Elephas maximus indicus: one gene and its partner. The protein of the gene in region 1 binds, or shares a complex with, the protein of each later gene. Links are inferred from orthologs where the notes say so. Each region holds a gene or a part of one and is shown in the gene's direction. Other genes may lie near its edges.

Region 1 (8,739 bases):
TAAAAACACACAAAAAAGCTTCATGTGTCTTGGTGGTGTAATTCTTTAACATCATACTTTTACTACAAAACATCTTCATATTTAAAACCAAAATGATCTGTCATATAAAAATATCATCTGTTATGAAACCTAAAAGCTCCTGATGATTATTTATACATGATCCTGAAATAAGATACTTGCTGCTTAAAAAAAAGTCAATGTGTTTATGTGTGTGTACAAGCTCTCTATCTTTAAAGGCTAAATACCCAATTCCAAAACACAATGGAGCGAGCTCCCTAGTGCATAGCAGGACTGTTGTGATCCAAAGGGTTTTCACTGGTGGATTTTCAGAAGTAGATTGCCAGGCCTTTCTTCCTACTCTGTCTTAGTCTGGAAGTTCAACATCATAGCAACACAGAAGTCTCCACTGACAGATGGGTGGTAGTTGTGCATGAGGTACACTGGCCGGGAATTGAACCCTGGTCTCCTGCATGGAAAGTGAGAATTCTACCATTGTATCTTCTTTCAAGTAGGTGGTAAGTCAAGGGAATTGTGTAGGGCTGAGGAGGGGCTTACTTGGGCATAATTCCTGTTTATTCTCAGGGATTAGTCAGCTTTCTGGATGAGGAGATGCCTGGGGAAATGGTAAACTGTCCCTTGAGACCAGATAGAAGAGGGAAGAGCATAGAGAGATTACAGTTTATGGGGCAGGAAGCCTAATAGCAGCTATGTATTGGCTTCATCTTCCCTAGATGGCACTTCATCTCTACAAAGACATTGGACAGGCTGTGCTATTTCCTCGCATTGGAAAAGAAGAAAAAGTTATAGATTTCTTTGCCTCAAAGCAATCTTCTAGAGAAAGCAATTGTTCCCTCCGCATCAGTATTTTATCAGAATCAAGACATTAATGGTAAAATAAAAGGAAACGAATCTTTTTCTCCCCATTGCCCAGCATGCATGCATTCCCAGTCTTTCTTTTCCCCCTAACGACACTTAACTGGATCTTAAAATGCGGATTTTCTGTGGAGGAGCTTTACATTTTCGGAATGCTTTTTCAAAAACAGGACCTCCTTTCGTTCCAGTGTTCTTCCTATCTGAAAACAAATTGGTCAATTTTCACCATACGTACATCATTTTAAGTGTTATTCCTTTGTGTGTGTGTTTTTAAAGAGAACTCACTCCCTAGCCACATGGCTTAAAATTCCAAGGCAGCTGGCTGACTTCTATTGCCTTAGAAGCCAGAAAACAGAGAGAAACTACAGCCCTACAGAAGGATCAAACCCTCAAAGGTGATTTCTTTAGAAATATGTTAAGAAATACTGAGATAATCGTCCACATTCAGCTCTATTGGACTGCAAGGAGCATTTCTTTATTAGTCTGCTGTCATTGTGTGCCGTTGAGAGGATTCCAACTCATAGTAACTCTACAGGACAGAGTATAAGTGCCCCATAGGGTTTCCAACACTGTAAATCTTCATGGAAGCAGACTGCCACATCTACCATGGAGTGGCTGGTGGGTTCTAACCGCCGACCTTTCGGTTAGCAGCCGAGTGGGTAATAATTGTGCCACCAGGGCTCCTTTTTATTAGTCCACTGAACTTTATTAAGGCATTGGCTTTGTTTCCACAGGACAAAAGCAGTTAAACAAAGAACAGGTTAGTTAACACAATTTTAAGATTCAAAAATGTATACATATCGATTTTCAGAAGCACTGCCGTGGTGCATTGTCAAAACTAATAGTGGAAGCTATCTCCTTTTAATTTGATTTGAAATCTTAATGTTTTCACTTGAATTATTTACTGCATTTTTTAAAAGGAAAGCTTAGAACTACGGGTATTAGTCTCACAAATTCTACCCGGGTAACTGAAGAAGTTATAACACCTAGAACACCCTGTTTTTCCTATTATCCCCCCACCCCGAATCAGTGAAAGGATATGAAAGGGAGTGATTGCAGTTACACACAACTCAGATTTGGGGGAAAAATGATCTGTGTTAAGAAATCAATACATTTATCTAGATACCTGGGAATTTTGAGTCAAACATAGAAGTGAGGCAGTCAGTTCCAACTCTGAAATTCCAAGAGTCTCTGAAGAATACTAAGCAAAAACCAACATGTTTCTTTGACATGCTTCCAAACCATTGCCATTCGTAAGTAACAACTCAAAACTCTTCTCTAGCTTTCATATCTTCTGAAAAACTTACTCTAAACCGATTTGTACTGTGTGAATTATGTGGATAAAATTAGAGCTGAAAGACTCTCCCTCAGAAAATGTTGTTTTTGCCGGGAACCCAGTCCTACTACCTCCTGAGTTCCTTGAAAATGAAAGTCTCTGTATCTTCCAGATGGCAGCCACCTTTTTGGTGGAACCAAAATAGCTCTCTCAGCTAGAGAGCTGTCTGTAACAGAGTTCTGATGGATATCAGATTTGGCATGCAGGAGGGAGGTAGGAAATGGTCCCAAGGGGCAGCACCTGACTAGCCAGGCAGGAGGGGCACTTGGCAAACAGTGCACTCATAAACACCAGACCAAGCAGAAGGAAATCAGCAGGCATTTCTGGAAATCATAGATAATCTTGTGGGAAAGGGAAGCCAGGAAAGTCGATGGGAAGCCAGGAAAGTCAATGAAAAGCCCTTATTTCCACCTTTGGCTCTTGTGGGATTTTGAAAGAGCCATGATTAAATGTAAGACACACTGAATTGGAAAGCTTTGACTTGTCAAATACACTGATATGCATAGGATTTTCTCTCCCTCCAGTGGTGGGGTAGGGGCTTTTGAAATGGTATCCTGTCACTGCATAATATTCTTCATAAACAAAGATGAGTTTCCATTATAGTGCATTTTGCCCATAAATGAGGATTTTCTTTGGGCATGTTGCTCTTTCTTAAGTGGTTCTCACAACAGCTCCAGCTCCCCTGTGTTAGGGAGTGAATGTTCTAAGTATGCGGATTACCAGCGGTAACAAGGGCCTCCCTCTACTTTTGGCTAGAGGATGCCCATGCTCACATTTGATATACAGGATTCTTTCTCTTGTCCAGTCTTATCAAAGGCAGAAACATGCTCTGCTCAGATGCAACTCTCCTGACCCCCAGTTGGGCCAGAACAACCTGAGGTGTTAAGTACGGAAGACAAGGCAGGCTTACCTAAAGGCGGTAAACACAGAAGTTCAGTGGAGAAAAACTCCTGAAAGTTCTAAAGAATGATCTGAACCTGATATAAAGGGCAATAATTAGGGGTAAATTTTGGAACAAGTCTTCACCTCGACTTTCCACTCTCTGTCAATTCTCTCATTTTATTCTTGGCCATGTGAAAGTGCTTCTGCTGTAATGTTTCAGATAGGTGATAGTGGATGAGAAAGCAGAAGAGATAGAAAAAGTAAATAATAATGATTTCAATTAGGGTACTTAAAAATTGCCTCCTTGTATATTAAAAAAAAAACTCATTGCCGTTGAGTCAATTGCAACTCATAATGACCCTATAGGACAGAGTAGATCTGCCCCATAGGGTTTCCAAGGAGCACCTGGTGGATTTAAACTGCCGACCTTTTGGTTAGCAGTCTTAGCTCTTAACCACTACACTACCAGGATTTCCAAAGTACATCTCAACATGGGGCTCAAACTCACAACCCTGAGATTGAGTCTCATGCACTATCGACTGAGCTAGCCAGGCACTTCCTAGTGTATAGAGGGATTAAATTGTGTAATATAACCACATCAGAGTATTATTGGAAATGAATCATTAGTTAATCAATAGGTTATTGATCAATAACTACTAACCTATTGGTGTGAAGTATGCAGAGTGTGCAGCTTTTTCCTCTGCTCCATAGTCAGAGTTAAGCATCAATGATGCTTACTTATCTTCTTGGATGTCTCCAAGGCAACCCAGCAAGCCCGGCTCTTTTATAGTTTCCTTATCTCAGTGAATAACTCCATCAGCCACCCAGGTGTGCAAGACAGAAATCCAGGAGTTAGTTAACCCTCCTAGTATCTCACCACCATATCCAATCCATCACCAAGTCTTTCAACCTTATTCCCTAAATCTACTAAAACTATTCTATTTCTCTTTGCCTCCACTGCCCCCCCCATTCACCAGCTCTCTTCAGAGCGACTACAGCATTTTTATGCAAATAACGGTACCTTCTGTGTTTGTTTGCCACTGCACCCTCCCCACCTGTGAGGTAAGCAGGTATGTTATTGATTTTACAGCAACATATGGAAGAGGACTGGCATGGCAGCGCTTGTGAGGGTGCCCCACAGAGCGGGGGGGGGGGGGAGGGGGCGGGGAGCAAGGCAGCCTGCAAACAGACGCATTGTGTAAAAATACCCTATCCCCTCTTCTAGTTCCTCCATTTAATCCTTGGTCAAACGCATTCTCCAAAATGAGCTACTTTATTTAACCACTATTAAAATTTTTAGAGGCCTACTTTGTGCTCAGGGACTACTGTGTTAAATAAGACATACAAGGTCCCCATTCTAAAGGAGGTTATAGAGACAGAAGATAAACATCAGAGAGTCCTAAGTACTAAGTGGAGAATTAAATAGCATGATATAATAGAGGATGGTTGAATGGATATTTTAGATTGCATGTTCAAAAACAAGAAGTTCTTGCAAGTTTCAACAAGGGATGTGAGTTTTGAAGCAGGAACCTCTGCTGGAATAACAGTATCTGCTTAGACTTCATCGCACATTAAGGAGAATAGTTTAGATACTAGCCAAGAACAAACAGGAGAGTAAGTAAAAACGCACCTGAAGGTTCTATCTAGGTCAGCCTGTTTCCAAGCGCCTCCGGTTAAACATATTATTTATTACTCATACGAAATTATCTTATTTTGCTAGCTCTTTTGCATGTCTCCTTTCCCTAGAAAGTAAGCTCCATGAGCTTATGGGTCATGACCGTCTTGCTCTCTGCTGTATCCCCAGGGCCTAAGAACTGTGCCTGGCGTATACAAGGCAAGCAAATAAGTACTTGTTGAACTAATGCCCAAAGGTGTGTGAACTGCGTTGACCGAGAAACTAATTGTGAGTTTGGCGATCCAGGAAGTCTTCGCCAAGATGTCAAGGTCATTTACATCGCAAGATTAATTGGGCTATAATATCACGGCCAGGGTTCTCAGCACCAGATCTCCAGCAGCAAGCGCTTACACTCAAAACTGACACACGCTCACAACCCTCTCCAGTCCCCCGCGAGGAGGAGTCACACCTCCCGACTTACAAATCACCCTATCCCGTCCTCTACTTCTCCTTTCCTTCCCTTCCCGACAGGGTTCCGGCCACCTTCGGGTCGCAATGCTCGCCGGAAGTAGTAGTCTTCCGGTCCGAGCCTTTAGAGTTTTTACACATTCCCGGAACTACGCCTCCCAGGAAGCCTCGCGGCAGAGGGCGGCTGTGTCACCTGACCAAAACGCTGGCGGTACAATGGCGGCGCCCATGCTTCGATGGGGCTGTGCTGGAAGGCGTTGGGCTTTCGCCTGTGTGGACGGTGGTTCTCGCCACGGACTAGGCGCTCGGAATGACTTCACACTCAGCGGGATGAGAGGACAGAGCTCTTTGGCTCTGCAGCCACTAATCACAGCCCAGAAGCCGAGGAAAGGGTATACTATTTCATGCCATTACAGCCCATCTAAGAGTTAGATGAAACGACGAGACGGGGGGAGATGGTGGTGGCCACTACGGTCGAGCCTTTTGTCTGTATGTTTTGGTGTGGGGCGGGAGGGAAGGGGAGGGGTTGGGCTGTAATTTGGAGGCTTGAAACCTAAATGAAAATACGAAACAGGTCTTCTATCAGCCTTGCCCCCACACACAAAATCACTGTCTTCGTATAGATAGGCGCATTAGAGGAACTCGGGAGTGTAAAATCGCAAGTGGTGCCTTGAATCCGAGGCTGCAGAGATAGAAGAGTAGATCCAGTCACCTTAATGTTAGCAGCGGGGTCGGTGACACTTGAAGAAGCATTATATTTAGCTGACATTAATTAGTGCTATTATCGGCCAGCACTGTTCCTAAGGTAGAAGGGGAGCCTTTAGTATAAACTCTGGATAAAAAACCAAAAGCCAGATCAGTCCAGTCGATTCCGACTCATAGTGATCCTGCAAGACAAGAGTAAAACTGCCCCATAGGGTTTCCGAGGCTGTAATGTTTAGGGGGAGCCCTGATAGTTTAGTGGCTACGCGCTAGGGTTGCAAATCGTAAAGGTCAGCAGTTCGAATCCAACAACCATTCCTTGGGGACAGTTTTACTCTGTCCTACAGAGTCGCTGTGAGTTGGAATCTATTCAACAGCAAAGGGTTTAGTTTTTTATTTTTTTTAATCCAGCTCTTAATGGAGGCCTGGTGGTACAGTGGTTAAAGCACTTGGCTGTTAACAGAAAGGCCGGCTCGCTCCACCTGAGAAAGCTGTGGCAGTCTGCTTCTCTACATATTAAGCAAAAAAAAAAAAAAAAACTCATTGCCGTGGAGTGGATTTGGACTCATAGCGACCCTATAGGACAGAATAGAACTGCCCCAGAGGGTTTCCAAGGAGCGGCTGGTGGATTCAAACGGCCAACCTTTTGGTTAGTAGCCCAACTTTTAACCACTGCACCACCAGCCTTGGAAACCAAGCGCTGGATAGTGGTGCCTTAATGTCATTAGTCAACAGTAGCTAGTTATGGAGGTGATTTATATTGAACATGTGTGTCTAGAACTAGAAGAATGCAGCAAATGGAAGAGATTTTCCCTCTTAATGTAGAAAGTTTAGTTTGTTTTGTTAGGTATTCTTTGAACAGCTGTTTATGCTTCGTCATATAAGACAAATGTTTTTTTTTTTTAAGTACAGAAACGTAAGACATGTTTCTAATATTTTGTTTATCCTGTGAGATAATTAGGGGAAATATCCTGAAGCATTCAGTTTCTGTCTTTTCATAAATTTCAGATTATCTCACTGTGAACTGAAAATAAATTTTTTTTCTCTCATGCAGTGTAAGTGTGAAAATACTTTGAGTAATGCTTCAGTGAATGCAGAATTTCTGATGAACTCTTAAGTTGAATTCCACTCAGTTAAAGGCTGTGTTCCCACACCTTAAAAAGAAGGAATTCATCTTCTCGCGATACTATACTATACTACGCTATACACTACTACATGCAGAGCTTCATGGGTTGAAACGATGAAAACAAAACTCAATACGTGTAAACAAAAATCTAGATAGTACAGAAAGTTGCTTGGGAGAAGAGCGTGCTTGGAACAGACAAAATATGGAGAGAGTGTGTGTAAACAGACCTTCTGGAGATTGCCCAGCGTACATGACTTTCAGAGGGAATAAGCACACTTAAAAGCGCCTGGAGAGACCTGTGCATGAAATGAATGGTGCAGACCAGCAGAGTAGGAGTCGCCAGATAAGAGGTTATTATAGCATTTAACGGTGCCTTTGCTATGAGTCGGAATCAACTCGACGGCACTGGCTTTTTTTTTTTTTTTTCTGGGTTGACTTGATAGCAGTCAAACCTGAAGAAATAAGCAAAGGAACCTAAAATTAGATCTTAGGAATTGAAAATCATTTTGGGGACCAAAAAAAATGTCACATGTAATGGTTTAATGTTTTCCTAGGCACAAAATTCCCAGTAGTACCATTTAGTGGTAATCTGTTATATCCGAGTCATTCTGGTAATTGTATTTGCAAGCCGTTGTTATAAAATGTATTCACAACATGATAGAGAATTTCCTTTTTTAATAATGAGATCTGGAATGATTTATTTACTGTTGTTCCTGTAATAATAGAATCTTGATGTTTATGTTAATTCTAAATAATGTTCACAAGGTCAGTTTTCTTCATTTACCAAGTGATTAATTGATAAGGGACAAGTAATTTAGAAAATGCTGCCTTTTGCCGAAGTCAGCCAGGCACTTGTCACCTGCTACCCATTTCTAAATTATTTTAAGATGCCAAATTGTTCCATTCTGTGTCACCTTTCTATTTGTACGGTGAACTCTGCTAACACCAAGTTGTAAATTAATTTTATTTTGCCAGTCTTGTTGCAAGGTGTTCATTATGACTTGTTTTTCATTTAATCACCCATAAAATAGGACACATTTTTTAAATGTGAAGATATAAAATTTTAGTAAGTTAAAAACACAATTAGGAAATGAATATTTGGGCTTTAGGCCCATAGAAATTCACGCGTAACTACTTCTTAACCGTGTGTCTTTCTCTTTAGTGAACACGAATGGGCAGCTGTGGTAGGTTTGGAAATTCATGCACAGATTTCTTCCAATTCTAAACTCTTCTCTGGATCGCAAGTCCACTTTGCAGCACCTCCAAATTCTTTGGTTTCTTTTTTTGACGCGTCTCTGCCTGGAACTTTGCCGGTAAGCCTTTTATTTAATCCTATTTTCATTAGTAAAATGTCTTTGTTTTCTTGAACATGGATAATGTTTTCCTTGTGTTAATATCCTGACGCAACTCTTAAGAAATACCTGTTTAAGGAATTTTATATGAAATGGGATACACTAAATGATTTCTAAAGACCCATCTCTAAAATTCTATTTCTAAGTCCAAAAGTCATCCGTTCATTCATACATTTTTTCATTTGTTTCACAGACATTTTAGAGTGTCTGCTAACCACCAGACACTGTTACGAACTGGAACACAAAAATGAGTGAAGATCCTTACATTCGAGGAATTTACAGGCTAGTGGGGAGGTTGTGTCCTATAAACAAATACAATGTAGTGCTATTATCCTGTGAAGTTAATATGTGTAGGATGATTTTGAAACCCAGATGAGGGACTCCT
Region 2 (8,255 bases), on another chromosome or scaffold:
AGGTGATTTGAGAATTACACTTACATAAACACAGTACGAGATACACTAGTCACCAAGGAGAGGCTTATGAGTAACCAACTGGATCTTGCTTTTTCTCCTGTTTACTTTAAGGACCTGCTGGTAGTTATATAGGAACTCTGGTGGTGCAGTGGTTAAGTGCTGGGCTGTTAACCAAAAGGTCAGCAGTTTGAGCCCAGCAGCTGTTTCACTTGAGAAATATGTTGCAGTCTGCTTCTTTGAAGATTTATAGCCTTGGAAACCCTGTGGGGCAGTTCTACTTTCTCCTCTAGGGTCGCATGAGTCGGAATTAACTTGACAGCAATGGGTGTGGTTTTGGTTTGGCAGCTATAAGATCTTCCTAAATTGTGGGAAGGCTGAAATATGTGAGTAGTGTAAGGACTAATTTCCGTGTTTTTTTTTTTTTTACATATTAAGCAGTTCACAGGCATGCTGTTTCTGAACTACTTTCTGGAATTGTCTAATTGACATCTTCACTCCACAGCCCTTTCCCTGGGGAGATGGTAACCATACTCTGTTTCATAACCCTCATGTGAATCCACTTCCAACTGGCTATGAAGATGACTAAAGAGAACCTGGACCACTACTGGGGACCACAGCACTGGTTTGGACCATTACTCTGCATGAGGGCCAGGAAGTGTATGGGACCTTAAGCTCACTTTTACTTGTATCAAATGGTGACCAATACACTGATCTTCCATTATTTTGCATGGGGCAGGAGATGCCGTAAATAAATAACAGTCATGACCTGGGAGTTGAATTGTTTGGTGGCATTTTTCCCTCAGAAGTTAGCATTAATGTTATTTCTCTTTCTGCATACTAGGGTCTGTGGCTGCTGTTTACGTTTCAGGTCCGGTTCAGCCCACTGAATAAGTGTTTACAACAGGCCTATATTGGGTTTCTTGTGTCTGGGGTGGGTGGTGCAGTGAAGCTAATGAATTATCTAGATTGGATCTTGACAGACTTTGAATGGCAAAGATGTGGAGTGGCCAGCAGAATGGCTCTGGTTTACATCTGAAAGAGGTACCTGAGACTTTCAAGAAAAAGTGCTTCCTCCAGGTCTCAGCTTTGTTGCTTCCCATTCCCTAGCATTTGCTGAGAATACTCCCTATAGCCAGATAACTTTTTTCTATCCTGTAGCTATAAGAATTGAGAGAAGCCCGATAAGAACTCCTTATCAAAATTTAAAACCTATGAAGTAGCTGAGGTAGTTGGAGTCACTTTATGGGGAGGATGAAGTCAAAATAGGGTGAGGAAATTATTCCCTCAGAAGCAATTTAACATTAGTACTTTTGGCACAACATGGCTATAAAGCAAGTTATTAATCTGTCTTTTAGACTTAAAAGTAGTATGAATAGGGTTAGATACCTGATGCTTGAGCATTGGAATTATACTTCAGGGATTCTTAAATCTATTTTGGTAATTAATTAGCTAGAATATCCTTCTCACTCCCTGAAATAAAACTAAAGAGGACTGCTCAAGATAATTTCCTACAAATTTTTCCCAAAAGTCAAAGGTTCGGAAGTGAGTTTCTGGGCTAGCATATGCAGCTTTCAGATCAAGCACCTCTCAATATGAGTTACAATAAAAGAACATGGTTGGCTTGCAGCTGGCTTATTCTTTTCAAAGCAAGGCTCAATTGGACAGTTTTATAGGAAGGTTAAAGAGGCTACAAGGTTTCTGTATGGCATAGTACATACATGAAACTGGTAGTGCAAAGGTGAGGTGTATAGAAACATGGTGGGAAAGCCACGCTCCAGTAAGAGAAAAAGAATCCCCGAGTTATCTTTGCCACCTGGTTCTCTAATCCAGCCTACACTTGAGTCCCTGTAGAGCTGGTGTGCTTGTGGTCAGTCTGAGTTCGGAACAGATATATTTAACTTCAGCTTCCTGCCTAACCTCCCTGGGCTGGATTCCAAATATCTTTTATAATCCTTATATAATGGACTTCAGCCAGTCCACACATATGTAAATGAAAAATGTTTTAGATGACATTAAGGACTATCACATTAAATATGAATTGGTAAAGTGGAGAGAACGTAATAGAATTTAGGTCTTCTGTGAATCAAGTTTTAGAGTTTCATATAACCTTTGGGCAAATAATAAATTGAACCAAATTCAAGATACACAATTGTGGGGGCTACACGATATTCTAAAGTATATAACTGTTCAGTGGGTCCTAACATTTTTTTTTTTTTTTTGCCACAATATAAATTTTTTAAGAAGGTATTTGCATAGCCTATTGCAGAAAAATGGAGCTCTGGTGATGCAGTGGTTAAGAGCTACAGCTGCTAACCAAAGGTCAGCAGTTTGAATCCACCAGCTGCTCCTTGGAAAACACTATGGGGCAGTTCTACTCTGTCCTATAGCGTCACTGTGACTCAGAATTGATGGCAACAGGTTTTTGATTTTTTATTGCAGAAAAAAGTTTTAGAAATCAGTAAAGTTGCAAATGGCTATACCATACAACCTAGCTTTAGCAAATCTTTACTTTTTCTTCACCTTTAAATTATAAAACATATAAAACCCTATTCAGTGTTTCTTTGGTGTGTGGGGATACAAGGTAGTAGTTGTTTGATGCACTGAAGTTGAAGGGCAAACAATGAGAAACTAAATGTTATGATTTATTCCATTTTCATGATTACAGATGTTAACAGGGCAAGATAAGTAAAGAAGGCAAATAAAGCAAACTCTTTTTTTCCTCCCATTTAACCAGATGCAGCATTTTGACATTTTTATGATAACACAGGTTGACTTAATTCATTGACTTGGGCTGGAAGCCAGCAATGGCAAATCTTTGCAACTTAGGATCTTTCTCCATAGCTACGCCAAGTATCTAAATTCCTGAACTACACTGTAATAGGCTCTGAGATAGTGTCCGCTGCAACACTTGAAGCTGTCAAATCTTAAGGCAAGGCTGTAAGTTTGTTAAAAGCTGTCTTCCTTTTGGCTAACCCAAGCTACCAGCGATCTTAACCGTTAAGTTACTATACAAAAATAAAACTATGCTCCCATGTTGGGGTCCTTTCTAGAGCATTAGCTTCCTGAGAGAAGTGCTAACCAATAGATTCCATGAACAATGACCCCAGGACAGTATACCTAATATCCTTTGCAGCCTATTTTATAGTTATTTACATATAAAGTCTACTTAAAGCTGATCCCAGACTAAGTATTGCAGCCATAATCTCAAGAAATCGTCTTTAGCACATTCCATTCCCGTAATGCCAGAGCAAGTGAGAAATTGCCTCGAAGCAAGTGAGAGGAAAGCATCAAGAAGGAAGGAATAAAACTCCCTCCTGAACTCCTCATCAAATCAATGGCTTTCTTCACAGTCTTAATTGACAAAATCCAGAGTCTTCAATTTGCTGATATGAGGAGTTCATTTTCAAGGTGACTGTCAAGGTCAAGAAGAGTTTTTAGGCTTTTCTTTGCTGTGGCCCATGAACTCCAGTCCTTCAATAGGAATCTCCTTCTCCTTTATTGCTTTCTGATGGAAGGAGAAAACACATCATAAAGGTTTATATGACGCTTGAGGACCAAAGTTTGTAAATAGAATATTGATGGCACAAAAGTAAAATCAGACTACCGACCCAGATTCAAGCCCCATGCCCTTTTTTTAATCAACAAAATTACCATTATGAAGCAATTAAATGCAAGACCACAGAAAAATTGGAAATGGGTGAGGAAACCATTAAATGTAAAAAAACAAACAAAAAACTATCACCACTCTTAGTGACAGACACGGGTTCAAATCTTGGTTCCAGGACTTGGTGGCTATGTGACCTTGAGGAAACCTCACTTTACTCATCTGTAAATGGGATAAAGATAGCAACTACATTCTGGAATTACCCTAAGGATGTTATAAGTTAACTCACTGGAAGTGCTCTGCCCAGTGCTGTTAGTTTTTATATTTAAAGCAGTTTCACATCCTTTGGGACTGGATCATAATTTCCTAGATGCAGCTGGAGGAATGTGGCTGAGAGAGAGAAACGGGACAATGAAGGGATTATAGCAAAAACAACGGGACCCTCAACAGGCTAGAAAAGCGCTAGCGTACGCGCGTCCGTACACACCACACACACACTCCCCGCCTCCAAGAGAATCAAACTTAATTCTAATGACTTGGACAAATCACTTCCTATCTCTGGGCTTGAGTTTTCCAGGTATAAAATACAAATAACGATGCCCACTTTGCAAGCTTAAGATGAGCACCAGATGGACCAAAAAATGTGCTCCGTCAAAAAGCACTGCAAACATACTTAATTCTGTCACTCAGATACCCAGGAGGCCTTGGTGATGATGGTATGGGAGGGGTCTCCTGCCACTGGCCTCATTGCGGCTTTTCCCCACCCTCCGGGTCCCAACCGCCGCACAATTCGAAGTTTGCGGTGGGGGACACAGTAGAGAGAACGCGGGGCCTTGGCGGTAGCGGCAGGAGGACTCGAGCCGGACTCACCTGAACACACTGCTGATAGCGCTTAAAGAGGTCCGTGCACGGGTCCCCGGAGCCGTCCCCCTTGAGGAACTTCTCAGCAAACCACCGATTGAAGCACTGGTCGTACTCGCGCTTCATGTCCGTGCATGCTTCCCCAACGCTGTTCATGGCGGCGGCGGCTCGTCAGGGCCGCACCTGATGTCATCACTCTCGGGCGCGTCGCTCGGCGTTACGTAACGGGCTCACTACGGGGGCTGAGAAGGCGAGAAATGTGGGCGCGGATGGTGAGGCTGGGCCTTCGGGCCCGGCTGGGCGGCTGCCGGGGCTTCACCTTCAAGGTAGATCCTCAGGTAAAGGCCTGGGCGTCAAGGCGGGTGGCAAAGCGGGCTAGGAGGCGGAGCAGGCCCCGTCCGTAACCCACGCCTCTGGCCTCGCTCCCCAGGGAACTGGTCAGGTCACCGCCGAGTTGATAGAACACCTGGAGCGTCTGGCGCTTGTGGACTTTGGTGGCCGCGAAGCCGTGGCGCGGCTGGAGAAAGCCATCGCCTTTGCCGACCGGCTCCGTGGCGTGGACACAGACGGGGTGGAGCCCATGGAGTCGGTACTGGAGGACAGGTAAACTCAGGCTGCGGCCCCAGAAGCCTTGAGTGTGGTGCTTTCGCAGCCCTATCAGGTGGCGATTAATGGTGTCCCCATTTCACATAGAGGAAAAGAGCCTTAGCGAGATTCAGGAACTGCCCACGGTCATCCCGCGGGTAAGTGGTTTCACTCTTCTCCTCGTTCACTATGGATCTTGTCACTCCCGTGTGTAAAGCCCTCGAGGCCTCCCGATGTAACTAGGAATAAAATCTAATCATAGCCTTCCAGGCCCTACCTGATGGAGCCGCCTGCCTACCCCTAGGACCCACCGCACTTCTCACTCAGTGACCTTCAGCCAGCTGGCCGCCTTACTGCTTGAACACGCCGAATTCTTTCCCTCGCTAGGATCTTTGCACTTACTGTTCCCTTTTTCTTGGACAGCCCACATTGTGTCAACAGTCCCTTTACTTCAGTTCTGGTTGTTCCATTTCCATTAATGTAGCTTCCCTGCCCCCTCACGCAACCTTCTCATCTTTGCTTTTGGGTAAATGTTGACCGTTTGGTCTCATATATATATTTTTAACGATCTTTTTTGAGAAGCTTCCTCCCAGCAGCAGACTTGTTTGCCATTTGGGGCTGCAACTTCTTAGAAAGAATGGGTTTGTAGCTTCTAATGATAGGAGCAACCTACAACCGTCTGTCCTAGTCTTTTCCTGATGTAAAGTGCTTTGTGAAATTTAAGTCTTATTAGGCACCTGTTTTTCCCACCTCTAGCCTTTGATTCCTTTGAATCTTTTCTCCACTTAGCAATCTGATGCCCAGTCTAGAGAGGTTAACCAATTTGCCCATAGTTACACAGCATTTCAGAACAAAAATTTGATGTCATTCCCCTACCCAAGCCCTTTAGGAGGCATCCCAGTGCTTTTCAGGATAAAAGCCTCCCCATATCCTAGCGCGCATCATCTGTTTTAGCCTCTGCCCACCTCTCCGAGTCAGTGCTATAATTCCTTGAGTTCTCCATGCTCTTTCCCTTCTAGAGCTCTATCTGGGTCCTATCCACTCCTCTTTTTTGCATACGTAATATCCTTGCTTCAGATCTCAACTGTCACTTCCTCAAAGTCTTCCTTCTGTTGTACTGACTCAAATTCCCTTTCAGTATACTGTGGCTCTCTCATGGTATTCAATAGAACTGTAATTTTACATATATTTGAGTGATATTCGATTCTTTTTCCTTCTCCCTCCATGTAGCCAAGCTCCAGAGAGCATATCTGGTTTTACTCATCATGTTCTCCGTGTCCAGCACTGAGCAGACAGACACTCAGTAAATGTCTGTTGGATGAGTGTTTTTATTAATATATTTGGGGAAGGTGGGAACAGAAGCACAAAAAGGAGTCAGAATTGCACAAGTCATCTAGAGGGTAACTATAAAGAAATGCAGCCATACTTAGGAAAGAGCCTGTGAAAAAGAAGAGGAATTTGGACTTGATAGCTGGAATCATAGCTTGGCACTCAGGGATCTGTCTCTTTCCATAAATTCAGGAACCAGATTTTTGTTAATGGCTCTATTTTAGAGATGTGACATTTTTGGGACACTCATGTTTTGAACAGACTGCCTCAGTAACGTTTGAAATAGAACCCACTGGAGACACGTGTTAAAAGGTTTTTAGGCAGTGTCCATACTAGCTGCAAAAACGCTGACTGGTTAATAGAAATCTCTCTGTGCATTAATAACATCTCATTTGTGTTAAGCTAAAAAAGATTAGCTTGCTTACACCAGCCACCAAGAACTTGTATGTATTATCTCAGTTATCACCTACAGCCCTGAAAGGTAAATACTGGTGTGTTTTATAGATGAAGAAACTGAGACTCAGAAAGGTTAGTAATGTGTCCAAAGTCTTATAGGCAGTAAGAAAATCTGGGACTCTGCTCTAGATAAGCCGTCTAAACTTAACCCCTAGAAACTTCATTCTCCTTCATCTCAAATCCAGAGACTGAATTAGTTGACACTGGTTGCAGCCAAATACTTCCGTGCTTCAGGTGTCCCTCAGAGCGTTATTTGAACCCAAAACTCTTAACCAAATCAATTAGCTCCCATTCCAGTGTGCATCAAACACAAAAGAATAAATTAGGAGAGAGGGAATAGGCTTTTAGATGAAAGTACAGGGGCGCCCAGAGAAATGACTCCTGCCAGTCTAATACCAGAAAAGAGGCAGAAAGAATCAGAAGCAGCATAACTGTCTCATTAGTCAGTCCACAGGCTGACAGAGCACATATGTCACCTCTCTGCTGCCACAGCACTTTCCATGGTTCTGTATTAGCATTTCCCATAGATTCTGGCTTAAGTGACTTGTCTGTGAACTTCAGAGGGCAGGGATTTCTAGTTCACAGTTGCACCCTTTCTCAAACAGTGTTTCTTATCCGAACTGGAACACAGAAAGATTTGAGTGATTATTTTCTCAAGTCTCCCAAGAATGGTACATAACTAATGCTAGTCCAGACGGATAGGAGAAAAATTGATTTATCATCAGAACTGGTGTCTTAGGGCATTTGGGCTAAATTCTCTTGCAAAACCCCAACCCCAATTGAGAAAGACAAGAAGTGAGGTAGACATTTAGTAAGTCAATCAGTAATTGACAGGCACTTCAGGAGTTCAGCTAGTCCCATTCTGCTGTTTAATACGTGGTTCTGAGGTCCAGAAAAGTTAAGCAATTTGCGAAGTTAAAGGTCTGCTTGGTGTGCTACCATCACAGAAACCCGGTAGTCTATGATTAAGAAAACAGGAAGGTGGGAGTCTGTTCTAGAAATAGCTATCATAAATAGTAATTAACTGGAAGTGTGTGGTATTTAAAGGGATGAATTTTGTTTTTTTGGAAATTTTATTTACATAGGAAACCTGATTACCAAATGATACTGAAAAAATCAGTTAGTAGATCTCCGTTGGGCTGCAGTAGCTTTAACCGCCTGTTGGTGGTGGTAGAGAGTCTTATGTCATCAAACTCTCCACACGTCCAGTAATTAGCAGTCTGGAAATGACAGGGGCCAGGCAGGTTATGCATAATTAAAAGGGCTTCGAGTAAAGGCATGGGTATACTTGGAGTGGTGTGCACTGACGTGTACCTGGGGTGCACTAACTGCTGAAAGGAGCCGCTGCTACTCAGCACCCACTTCTTACTGCCATGAGAATGGAGGCCCAGCATTGTCAAATCTTATTTTTTAACGTCAT

Evidence for each region.
Region 2: GATB (region 1) and GATC share a complex: the UniProt entries of both Homo sapiens proteins name them as parts of the heterotrimeric GatCAB amidotransferase (AdT) complex. The link is inferred for Elephas maximus indicus from reciprocal best matches to the Homo sapiens genes GATB and GATC.

What each region holds. Positions count from the first base shown.
Region 1 is NC_064831.1:32,094,196-32,102,934, forward strand, and holds the start of GATB (glutamyl-tRNA(Gln) amidotransferase subunit B, mitochondrial), read left to right. Parts: upstream 1-5,380; 5' UTR 5,381-5,390; coding exon 5,391-5,566; intron 5,567-8,164; coding exon 8,165-8,315; intron 8,316-8,739. UniProt on the Homo sapiens protein: Allows the formation of correctly charged Gln-tRNA(Gln) through the transamidation of misacylated Glu-tRNA(Gln) in the mitochondria. The reaction takes place in the presence of glutamine and ATP through an activated gamma-phospho-Glu-tRNA(Gln).
Region 2 is NC_064840.1:17,838,462-17,846,716, forward strand, and holds the start of GATC (glutamyl-tRNA(Gln) amidotransferase subunit C, mitochondrial), read left to right. Parts: upstream 1-4,599; coding exon 4,600-4,803; intron 4,804-4,895; coding exon 4,896-5,068; intron 5,069-8,255. Other genes in the region: cytochrome c oxidase subunit 6A1, mitochondrial, read left to right, coding at 503-586; TRIAP1 (TP53-regulated inhibitor of apoptosis 1), read right to left, coding at 3,422-3,505, 4,475-4,621. UniProt on the Homo sapiens protein: Allows the formation of correctly charged Gln-tRNA(Gln) through the transamidation of misacylated Glu-tRNA(Gln) in the mitochondria. The reaction takes place in the presence of glutamine and ATP through an activated gamma-phospho-Glu-tRNA(Gln).